Macaca mulatta: one gene and its partners. The protein of the gene in region 1 purifies or fractionates together with the protein of each later gene. This does not show direct contact. Links are inferred from orthologs where the notes say so. Each region holds a gene or a part of one and is shown in the gene's direction. Other genes may lie near its edges.

Evidence for each region.
Region 2: the proteins of TRIM27 (region 1) and KPNA1 purify together in Homo sapiens (co-immunoprecipitation; 3 studies listed by BioGRID and IntAct, with this or other methods). This does not show direct contact. The link is inferred for Macaca mulatta from reciprocal best matches to the Homo sapiens genes TRIM27 and KPNA1.
Region 3: the proteins of TRIM27 (region 1) and MAGEL2 purify together in Homo sapiens (affinity purification with western blotting; 3 studies listed by BioGRID and IntAct, with this or other methods). This does not show direct contact. The link is inferred for Macaca mulatta from reciprocal best matches to the Homo sapiens genes TRIM27 and MAGEL2.

What each region holds. Positions count from the first base shown.
Region 1 is NC_133409.1:154,433,602-154,437,195, forward strand, and holds part of TRIM27 (zinc finger protein RFP), read left to right. Parts: intron 1-367; coding exon 368-483; intron 484-615; coding exon 616-648; intron 649-2,171; coding exon 2,172-2,198; intron 2,199-3,594. UniProt on the Homo sapiens protein: E3 ubiquitin-protein ligase that mediates ubiquitination of various substrates and thereby plays a role in diffent processes including proliferation, innate immunity, apoptosis, immune response or autophagy.
Region 2 is NC_133407.1:161,339,388-161,342,165, forward strand, and holds part of KPNA1 (importin subunit alpha-5), read left to right. Parts: intron 1-1,905; coding exon 1,906-2,084; intron 2,085-2,445; coding exon 2,446-2,633; 3' UTR 2,634-2,778. UniProt on the Homo sapiens protein: Functions in nuclear protein import as an adapter protein for nuclear receptor KPNB1. Binds specifically and directly to substrates containing either a simple or bipartite NLS motif.
Region 3 is NC_133412.1:6,302,613-6,307,052, forward strand, and holds the start of MAGEL2 (MAGE-like protein 2), read left to right. Parts: upstream 1-1,493; 5' UTR 1,494-1,618; coding exon 1,619-4,440. UniProt on the Homo sapiens protein: Probably enhances ubiquitin ligase activity of RING-type zinc finger-containing E3 ubiquitin-protein ligases, possibly through recruitment and/or stabilization of the Ubl-conjugating enzyme (E2) at the E3:substrate complex.

The sequences.
Region 1 (3,594 bases):
GTCCTAGTTCCTGGAAGGTCACGGAATTGGGAAAAAGAATTTACTCGTGCCCGGCACGGTGGCTCATGCCTGTAATCCCAGCATTTTGGGAGGCCCAGGTGGGAGGATCACCTGAGGTGGTCGGAAGTTTGAGACCAGCCTGACCAATATGGAGAAACCCTGTCTCTACTAAAAATACAAAATTAGCTGAGTGTGGTGGCGCTTGCCTGTAATCCCAGCTACTTGGGAGGCTGAGGCGGGAGAATCACTTGAACCTGGGAGGCAGAGGTTGCGGTGAGCCGAGATGGCGCCATTGCACTCCAACCTGGGGAACAAGAGCGAAACTCCATCTCAAAAAAAAAAATTTACTCATGTTTTTTAAATTTAGGGCTGAAAGAATCAGGATTCCTGAACCTTGGATCACGCCTCCAGACTTGCAAGAGAAAATCCACATTTTTGCCCAAAAATGTCTATTCTTGACGGAGAGTCTAAAGCAGTTCACAGGTAATGTGAGGAGTGGTGTCATGAGGGGAAATGGATTTATACTCAATATCTGCATATTGCCTGATGAAAGGATATATTTTCCAGCCAGATAGTGGGATGCAAACTGAATATTTTCTTGTTTTCTTTTCTTAGAAAAAATGCAGTCAGATATGGAGAAAATCCAAGGTAAATTTATCTACCTACTGGGCTTTTGATGTAAAGTTGCTTGGAAAAAAGAACATCTGCACTGAAAGTGGGAAACATGGGGTGATACCCATTGGCCAGCCTTCCCTTATATTTTACATCTTCCCTTGGTCTTAACTAATTTTCTCAACTAACAGCCTCTTGCTCTAATTTGAAGTCTGTTAACTGTATTTAGTCAATTCTCAATCTGCATTGATGGAGGAGAAAAATAAGCAATCCAAAAATTAATCCAGAATTAATTTGATTATTTCGGAAAGAGTATGAACAAAAACTACCTTGGATACATTTCACTTGAGCTAGTGTTTATCATTGTAATTACTGAGTTCCTACTGCTTGTGGGTACAGGTGCCAGCTCGGGCAGGAGGTAATTAGGCAGCGCTGACAGGCAGCACTGCCAGGGACATGGTTAGAAGCGGGCAGTCAGGAGTCAGGCCACTTGGGTTCTGGGCCTGGCTCTACCACTTAGTAAGGATTCAACAAGTAATTTCCTTATCTGTAACAGAACAGTAATAGTTCTTACCTCCTAAGGTATAAGAATTAAGGTTAGTTATCATTTCTAACACTTCTAGAATAGAACCTGACACAGTAAGTCCTATATTTACGTTTATTAAATAAAAGTGTTCTAGGCATTTGGAGAAGCTTTTCCAAATTTAAATTTTCCTGCTCACAAGCCACATTCAGTAAAGAGTTGGCCATATATTATTCCACCCAGGAATACTTAAATTCCTGGGCAGTCTGGTGGATTCTGAAATCCTTATATGTAGGTAAACCCTTCTCTTAATTATTAGAAATTACAAACACCCATAATCTTTGATTTTTTTCTATTTTATATATGCTGAGTTCTTATTTGCATTGCATCTACTCAGATATATACTTTTTGGGGCATCTAGCAACATAGAGTTAGCAGATACATGTCCTCTACAAATGGGGAGAAACTCCACTTAATACAGTGGGTAATAACCAGAAGTGGTTAGTTCAGGCACGACCTTGATCTGGCTCTTCTTTTCTTGCCACTTAAAAGGCTTAGTGGGATAATGTGTGAAAAATTCTGTTTCAACTCTAAAGTGCCTTATAAATGAATGGTCATGTTTACCCCAGAGTGTCAGTGAGTGCCATTTGAGCCATTCAGCTGTCGTACCCAGATGACTTATGAAACTCAAAAGTTATGTATGACGTGGGGTTGGAACTGCGTTTCCCTCTGCAGAGCCAGCTGACTCACTAGAAGGTGGAATTCTTGATCTTGGCTCAGTTTGATCCCATATTCTACCAGTCTCAGGCATGTGGTTATCCCTCTACTTAAGATTCCCAATCCCTCTCCCCTTAAAGCTTTTGGTTGGATGATAGAGCCATACATCATATGAAAAAATTAGTGCATGACTGACAGCAGAGGTTCTGGGGTTTCTAATGGAGACCACTGCTTTATGATGACTAACCAAAGCCCCCTCAGTTATGTATTTCCTGGAAACCCTCATGACTTCTATAACTTTTCTCTTTTGTTCTTTCAGAATTAAGAGAGGCTCAGTTATACTCAGGTAGGTGATGAGAGACAAAACCACATTAGGTTAAGGAGTAACAATCTTTGTGAACGTAACTACTATCATGAATGATTTGGAGATTGCTTAGATTTGGATTCTTTAGGTTACATGTATAAAGATGATACACAACAACCACAAAAATCCACAGTTGTTTCTATGTGTTAACAGTATCTTTGCCTCCTGAAATGCCTCAGAGTTGAAGCCATAGGGTAAAATCAATCTCAGGTGTTAAAGAAGGATTATAGGGTGGAAACCGCAGTTCCCCAAAAGTAGAACAGAGCTGGTACACTAGTACACTGCTGTGCCTGCCCAGCTTCAGGGTTAAACCATGGTTTGTGACGAGCAAGACTGATTGAGCTCCACTATTACTCTTGAGTGTTAGAGGAAGTCTAGGAGTCTTGTGTCATCCCATCGCTGTGCCTCAGGGCGAAGTTCGAAACTCCCCTTCCCCTTCACAACCACTTTCACCCTACTGTAGAGCCTGGGTAAATTTAACATTGCAGAAGTCCTCAAATCCAAGGTGTATTCATCCCGCAGTCACAGTCACCTTCTGTTATGAAGTGTCCTCTAAATGAAGAGAAGGACTCGACATACAGTGGATCTGCAGTCCTGGGTGTGCGCTGGCTCTGATCCATATTTATTTCAACAAGTATTAACTGAGTACTTCGCTTGTATCCTACACTGCCTAACATTGTACAGGGTATTTTAGAGGAACAGAAGGGCATAAATCATCCTACTCATGGGGTTTACATTGTCTGGTTGGAGATACACCCATGACACAAGAAGGAGGTAGGCACGTGTTGTAGACAGATTGTTGAACCGGGAACCAAGGGTTCTGGGGTTCTTGGTTATCTCTACCAGTTGCCTGTCTTTTGTGGGAGTCAAAATTTGTGGGCTTAAATTTCTAAGAGGTAATGTTTGGGAATCTTCCTCCTGAACAAGATGTGAAGAGCAAATGAGAGAATACGTATCACTGTTTTTTAAATTAATTTATTTTTTGAGTATTTTACTTTTTAAAATTTTTTATTATTCATTTTAGAGGCAGGTTCTCTGTTGCCCAGGCTGGTGTGTAGTGGCGTGATCATAGCTTGCTACAGGCTCGAACTCCTGGGCTCAAGTGATCCTCCTGCCTCAGCCTCCTGAGTAGCTGGAATTACAGGCACACACCACCGTGCTTGCCTAAATTTTTACTTTTATGTTTTGTAGAGACAGGGTCTCACTATGTTGCCCAGGCTAGTCTCAAACTCCTGTATGCAAGCGATCCTCTTGCCTTAGCTTCCCAAAGTGCTGAGATTAACAGGCATGAGTCACACACCCAGCCCATTATCAGTGTTTTTGAAGCAGGAAAACACTTGATGATAGCAAGATGCTGTAATACTAAATGCCAGAGGAG
Region 2 (2,778 bases), on another chromosome or scaffold:
TGGGACTTCCAGTGCACTGTTGAATAGGAGTGGTGAGAGAGTACATCCTTGCTTTATTACCAGTCTTTCTCATCATTAAGTATAATGTTAACTGTATGTTCTTTGTTGAGATTCTATCAAAGAATCTCTTAAGGAAGTTCTGTCTCTTTGTTTGCTGGGTTGTTTGCTTGTTTGTTTATTTATTGAGACTGAATTTTGCTTTTGTCGCCCAGGCTGGAGTGCAGTGGTACGATCTCAGCTCACTGCATCCTCTGCCTCCTGGGTTCAAGCGATTCTGCCTCAGCCTCCCAAGTAGCTGGGAATACAGGTGCCCGCCACCATGTCTGGCTGGTTTTTGTGTTTTTAGTAGAGATGGGGTTTCATCATGTGGACTAGACTAGTCTTGAACTCCTGACCTCAGGTGATCCACCTGCGTCTGCCTCCCGAAGAGTTGGGATTACAGGCGTGAGCCACCACGCCTGGCCTGTTTGCTGCGTTTTTATCATGAATGGGCATTGGATTTTGTTAAATGCTTTTTTGCATCTGTTGAAGTGATCATAAGTTGATTACATTGATTCATTTTTTTAAAATGACAGATCAGCCTGGCATATTTGGAATAAATCCACTTGGTATATAATTCTTCATACACATTCTTGGATTTGATTTGATAATGTTTTGTTGAGGATTTTTGCATTCATGTTCATGAGACATATTAGTCTGTAATTTTCCTTTCTTATAATGTCTTTATTTAATTTTGGTATTGGGGAAGTGGTGGCCTCATAGATTGAGTTAGGAAGTATCCCCACTGTTTGTTTTCTGGAAGAGATGGTAGAATACTAGTATCGTTTCGTCTTTAAATATTTGCCAGAATTCACCAGTGAAACTCTCATCCTGGTGTTTTCTATTCTGGGAAGTTATTAATTAATGATTCAATTTATTTAATACATGTAAGCCTGTTCACATCATTCATTTCTCCATGATTGAGTTTTGGTGGTTTGTGTCTTTCAAGAAATTGTTCATTTTATTATCTGAATGATCAAATGTGTCAGCATAGAGTTGTTTGTAGTATTCCTTTATTATCCTTTTACTATCCATGAGATCAAGTGATGATTCTCTTTCATGATATTAGTAATTTTGTCTTTTCTCCTTTTTTTCTTGTTTGGCTAGAGATTTATTTTTATATATTTTTGAATTCTTCCTCCCCCACACAAAAAAGCAGCATGCGAGAGAGAAATAGATTAGCACTAGCAGTAAGTTTCATAATGACCTTACCCATCCACAGAATGCAACTGGATTCATTATCTCTGCCTCTCTGTACTCAACTTGAGAAACCAGAATGATAAAAAATGACATGACTATTTACTGTGAATGTAATCATGTCTCTGCAGTTCAAGTATGATTAATCTTGATTACATATGATTATACATTCTGCTTGAATTAAAGGAAAAATACCAGCTCTAGAGTCCTCTGACGTTTGTTTATTCTTCCCACAACTTACTTTACTAAAATTCGAGTCATGTTTGAAAGATTTGGCCTATCAGGCTTGTGCTGGCTTTTAGCACCAAGAGTGTCATGTTTTGAGAGGTGTGGCTTTCTATGGAAACAAAGATGAAATTACTCAAAATTATACTATTTTGATGAGTTACTCATTTCAAAGTTTTAATAGGTGAGTGTTCCTGTTTTTGGAATGCATAAATTGTGAAGGGAAAAGAATGGAGAAAGGTGCCAGAGAACTGGTTTGGGATAATTTATTTAGAGGGTGTTTTGTTTTTGTGAAAAGGTATAGCTTGTATGGTTGAAAGAGTGCCTTTTTTTTTTTTTTTTTTTTTAAGTCTTTGCAGTAAGGTTGAGGATGACTTGTTCACTAATTTCATAAGTTTAACAAAATTTAAAGTTTTGTTTGACTACATTATTCTTTGTGTTTAGGTACCTAGTAGAACTAGGTTGTATCAAGCCGCTCTGTGATCTCCTCACGGTCATGGACTCTAAGATTGTACAGGTTGCCCTAAATGGCTTGGAAAATATCCTGAGGCTTGGAGAACAGGAAGCCAAAAGGAATGGCACTGGCATTAACCCTTACTGTGCTTTGATTGAAGAAGCTTATGGTAAGATGCTTTGGTTGAAGAAGTTTATGGCGAAGAATTAATTGGGTCGTAGATAGAGTTCAATAAAAACAATACTGCTGCTAGGCACTGGATGAAAAGAGGACTGTTAGGGAAATTGCTGCTTCTGCAGACTGGATGTTGCTTGCATATGTATTTAAGATGTCAGTTTATAATATTAGCTTTCAGATGTAATCCCAGCAGTCATTTCTGTGCTATTATAAAATACCTATGAGATACAAATAATCTTTCTTTACATCAAGAACAGAGATATATGACAAAATATAGTTTGGGAATATATAGTTATGGAATTTCCAATATTTATTGAAGTTTTCAATAGATTTTCCTTTATTCTCCATTTCAGGTCTGGATAAAATTGAGTTCTTACAGAGTCATGAAAACCAGGAGATCTACCAAAAGGCCTTTGATCTTATTGAGCATTACTTCGGGACCGAAGATGAAGACAGCAGCATTGCACCCCAGGTTGACCTTAACCAGCAGCAGTACATCTTCCAACAGTGTGAGGCTCCTATGGAAGGTTTCCAGCTTTGAAGCAATACTCTGCTTTCACGTTCCTGTGTCAGACCAGGCTACCCAGTCGAGTCCTCTTGTGGAGCCCACAGTCCTCATGGAGCTAACTTCTCAAATGTTTTCCATAATACTGTTTGCGCTCATTTGCTTGCCTTGCGCACCTGCT
Region 3 (4,440 bases), on another chromosome or scaffold:
GTATCATCGAACACCCTTAAAAATCTGACTGTTTTGCAAAGAGTTTCCTGGGAATAACAGCATCCCTTAAATGTCCAGAAAATCACTGAAACTTCACCCCCAAATTCTTCTATTATTATTTAAGGCAATAATAACATTAGGAGTGTGTACATACCTTCCCTTGGATCCATAAATTACCAAATTTGAGGACCCCTGGCTAAGGGTACCTGGGGAGGAGTGGGGTGTACCCTTCATCATCCTCATCTGCCCCCTGGTGGCACATTTTGTCACTCTGGACTCCTGCCCTAGGCTGCCAACAGCCTATTTAAACGAAATATCCCTGATATTTAGTAGTTTGTATATTTCCAGAAAACTTTTCAACTACTGAGATTATCACTTCCTCTCACCATAAAGTTGTATAGCATTGTCCAATAATACTATTGTCGCCTGCTTTATCTGTTAATACTTGATTTGTCTCATACTTAAACTGATTTTTGTCACAAGTAGTTTCCCCAGAAATTTTGTTATTGTTTGCCTGTTTTTCCTATATGTCCAAATGTATCCATTTTTGATCTATTTATATACCCATTTTGTTATCTTCAGGTGCATTATTTGGTTTTCATTTTAAAAATTTCTTTCCTGTTCTGCAACTGAAAAACACTGAGAAACCTACTCTGTTCCCGCATCCGAGCCATTCCACAGGCAGTTTTCCCCATACGAAAAACTCTGTCTTCCGCTGATTTGTGGCATGTCTCAGTTCCGTGACTTCTTTTCCTCTCTCTCCCTACTTGCTGCTATCCCTTTTCTCCATGTGTCTCTAACATGCCTGTGTTCTTCAAGATCTAGTGCAACCACATTCCCTCCCACAACTCTATTTTTATGAGGAATAGCCAAGCAGGACTCCCAAGACATTATACAGGAGTGCCTACAGGGCTCTCTCCTTGGCAGTCCCACAGCACCGCAAATGCCCTGTGTCTGCCAATACTCATCAGCCTCTCTTCCCGTGTGCCTCTCCTGGGACCCTAAGAGAGGAACCGTCCTGCAACTTTCCACTTTCTCCAGACAGGGACTTGTGTGCCTTTTCCGTGTCTCTGACTCCTTTATTCGGTTATAATACAGGTATCTGTCTGCTATAACTCCTGAAACTCTCTTATGTAAATGCACTTTTCTCATTCTCCGCCTCACATCTTAGCCCAGACCACACCATCTCCCCCCGGTCTTGGATACCTTCCATGTTTCCAGTGGTCTGCTCCCACTCCACACTGCAGTACCGTGATTTTTCTAAAACATGGATCGGTTCCTGTCACTCCCCTGTGAAAACTCATCCATGTGGAGTCTGACTGGTCTGCATTTGGGGACTGGACAGAGTGAGAAGGGATCTTGTGTCAGCCAGGACTCCGGTAGACGCCCCTATGCAATATCCACTTGTGGTGGTCGGGGGCGGGGAAGGGGCGGGCTTGAGCCCCCTTCCCCCCTCCTCCTTACTGCGGAAAGCTGCGGAGCGAGCAGCACTCACTTCCTATTCAGCATTCAGCAGGGAGGGAGCCTCCGAACAGCCACGTAGGCATTCTCTTCTCTCTGGAGGAAAAGGCCCAGCAGCTGTCCGAGGAAAAGACCCACCAGCTGTCAGCAAAGGGACATGTCGCAGCTAAGTAAGAATCTGGGTGACTCGAGTCCTCCAGCGGAGGCCCCGAAGCCGCCTGTCTATAGCCGCCCTACGGTTCTGATGCGGGCCCCGCCCGCTTCCTCCCGGGCTCCGCCAGTCCCTTGGGATCCACCTCCAATTGACTTGCAGGCTTCATTGGCCGCTTGGCAGGCACCTCAGCCTGCCTGGGAGGCCCCACAGGGCCAGCTGCCCGCCCCGGTGGTTCCGATGACCCAGCCTCCTGCCCTGGGGGGCCCGATAGTCCCGGCTCCCCCGCTGGGGGGACCGATGGGTAAGCCTCCAACTCCCGGGGTCCTGATGGTGCATCCTCCGCCTCCGGGAGCCCCGATGGCCCAGCCTCCGACCCCGGGAGTCCTGATGGTGCATCCTTCAGCTCCCGGAGCTCCCATGGCCCATCCTCCTCCTCCGGGGACCCCAATGTCCCACCCTCCCCCTCCGGGGACCCCGATGGCCCATCCTCCCCCTCCGGGGACCCCGATGGCCCATCCTGCTCCTCCTGGGACCCCGATGGCCCATCCTCCTCCTCCTGGGACCCCGATGGTTCATCCTCCTCCTCCTGGGACCCCGATGGTTCATCCTCCCCCTCCGGGGACACCGATGGCTCATCCTCCCCCTCCGGGGACACCGATGGCCCAGCCTCCCCCTCCGGGGACACCGATGGCCCAGCCTCCAGCTCCGGGAGTCCTGATGGCCCAGCCTCTGACTCCGGGAGTCCTGATGGTCCAGCCTGCTGCTCCGGGAGCCCCGATGGTCCAGCCGCCTCCTGCAGCCGTGATGACCCAGCCTCCGCCTTCAGGAGCACCGATGGCCAAGCCTCCAGGTCCAGGAGTCCTGATGATTCATCCTCCAGGTGCGAGAGCTCCAATGACCCAGCCTCCAGCTTCAGGAGCACCGATGGCACAGCCAGCGGCCCCACCTGCACAGCCGATGGCCCCACCTGCACAGCCGATGGCTTCTTGGGCCCCGCAGGCTCAGCCTGTGATCCTGCAAATCCAGTCTCAAGTTATAAGGGCTCCTCCGCAGGTTCCCCAGGGCCCGCAGGCACCCCCAGCGCAGCTGGCCACACCCCCGGGCTGGCAGGCGACCTCGCCAGGATGGCAGGCCACGCCGCAAGGCTGGCAGGCCACTCCCTTGACCTGGCAGACCACGCAGGTCACCTGGCAGGCACCAGCCATTGCCTGGCAGGTGCCGCCGCCTGTGCGCCAGGGGCCCCCGCCCATCCGCCCTGGCCCACCACCCATCCGCCCTGGCCCACCACCAGTGCGCCAGGCCCCACCGGTGATCCGCCAGGCCCCACCGGTGATCCGCCAGGCTCCACCGGTGATCCGCCAGGCGCCACCGGTGATCCGTCAGGCCCCACCGGTCATCCGCCAGGCCCCACCTGTGCTCCGCCAGGCCCCACCTGTGCTCCGCCAGGCCCCACCTGTGATCCGCCAGGCTCCACCTGTGCTCCGCCAGGCCCCACCTGTGATCCGCCAGGCCCCGCCGCTGATCCGCCAGGCGCCGCCGCCCATCCGACCTGCCCCACAGGTCCTGGCCACCCAGCCACCTCTCTGGCAGGCCCTGCCACCCCCACCTCCACTGCGGCAGGCCCCGCAGGCTAGGCTGCCGGCCCCGCAGGTGCAGGCGGCGCCGCAGGTGCCTACGGCCCCACCTGCTACGCAGGTACCCGCGGCGCCGCTCGCTGGCCCGCAGGTGCCCCAGCCTGTGCTGCCGGCCCCGCTGTCTGCCCCACTGTCTGCCCCGCAGGCTGTGCACTGCCCATCCATCATCTGGCAGGCCCCCAAAGGTCAGCCCCCAGTGCCACATGAGATACCAACGTCAATGGAGTTCCAGGAGGTGCAGCAGACACAGGCTCTGGCCTGGCAGGCCCAGAAGGCCCCCACCCACTTCTGGCAGCCCTTGCCTGCCCAGGAGGCCCAGAGGCAGGCTCCCCCCATGGTTCAGCTGGAGCAGCCCTTTCAGGGAGCCCCGCCCTGCCAAAAAGCTGTGCAAATCCAGCTACCCCCCCAGCCGCCCCAGACCTCGGGTCCGCAAGCCGAGCTGCCCACACTGCAGCTCCAGCCCTCCTGGCAGACACCGCCTGCGGTCTTGCAGGCCCAGCCCGGACCCCCCTTAGCAGCGGCAAATTTTCCCCTGGGCTCCGCTAAATCATTGATGACTCCATCAGGAGAATCCAGGGCCTCTTCTATAGACCGCAGGGGCTCCTCTAAAGAGCGCAGGACCTCCTCAAAGGAGCGCAGGGCCCCTTCGAAAGACCGCATGATCTTTGCTGCCACCTTCTGTGCTCCCAAGGCAGTGTCAGCTGCCCGAGCACACTTGCCAGGCACCTGGAAAAACTTGCCTGCCACACCGGAGACCTTTGCTCCCTCCTCAAGTGTCTTCCCAGCTACCTCCCAGTTTCAGCCTGCCTCTCTGAATGCCTTTAAAGGCCCCTCTGCTGCCTCAGAGGCCCCAAAGTCACTGCCATATGCTCTGCAGGATCCCTTTGCCTGTGCAGAGGCCCTGCCTGCAGTTCCGTGGGCCCCACAGCCCAACATGAATGCCTCAAAGGCATCCCAGGCAGTGCCCACCCTCCTGATGGCTACAGCAGCTGCCCCCCAGGCAACTGCCACCACTCAAGAGGCCTCCAAGACCTCCGTGGAGATGCCACGCCGCTCCGGCAAGGCCACCCGGAAGAAGAAGCATCTGGAAGCCCGAGAGGACAGCCGTGGCCACACGCTGGCCTTTCATGACTGGCAGGGCCCAAGGCCCTGGGAGAATCTGAATCTGAGTGACTGGGAGGTCCAAAGCCC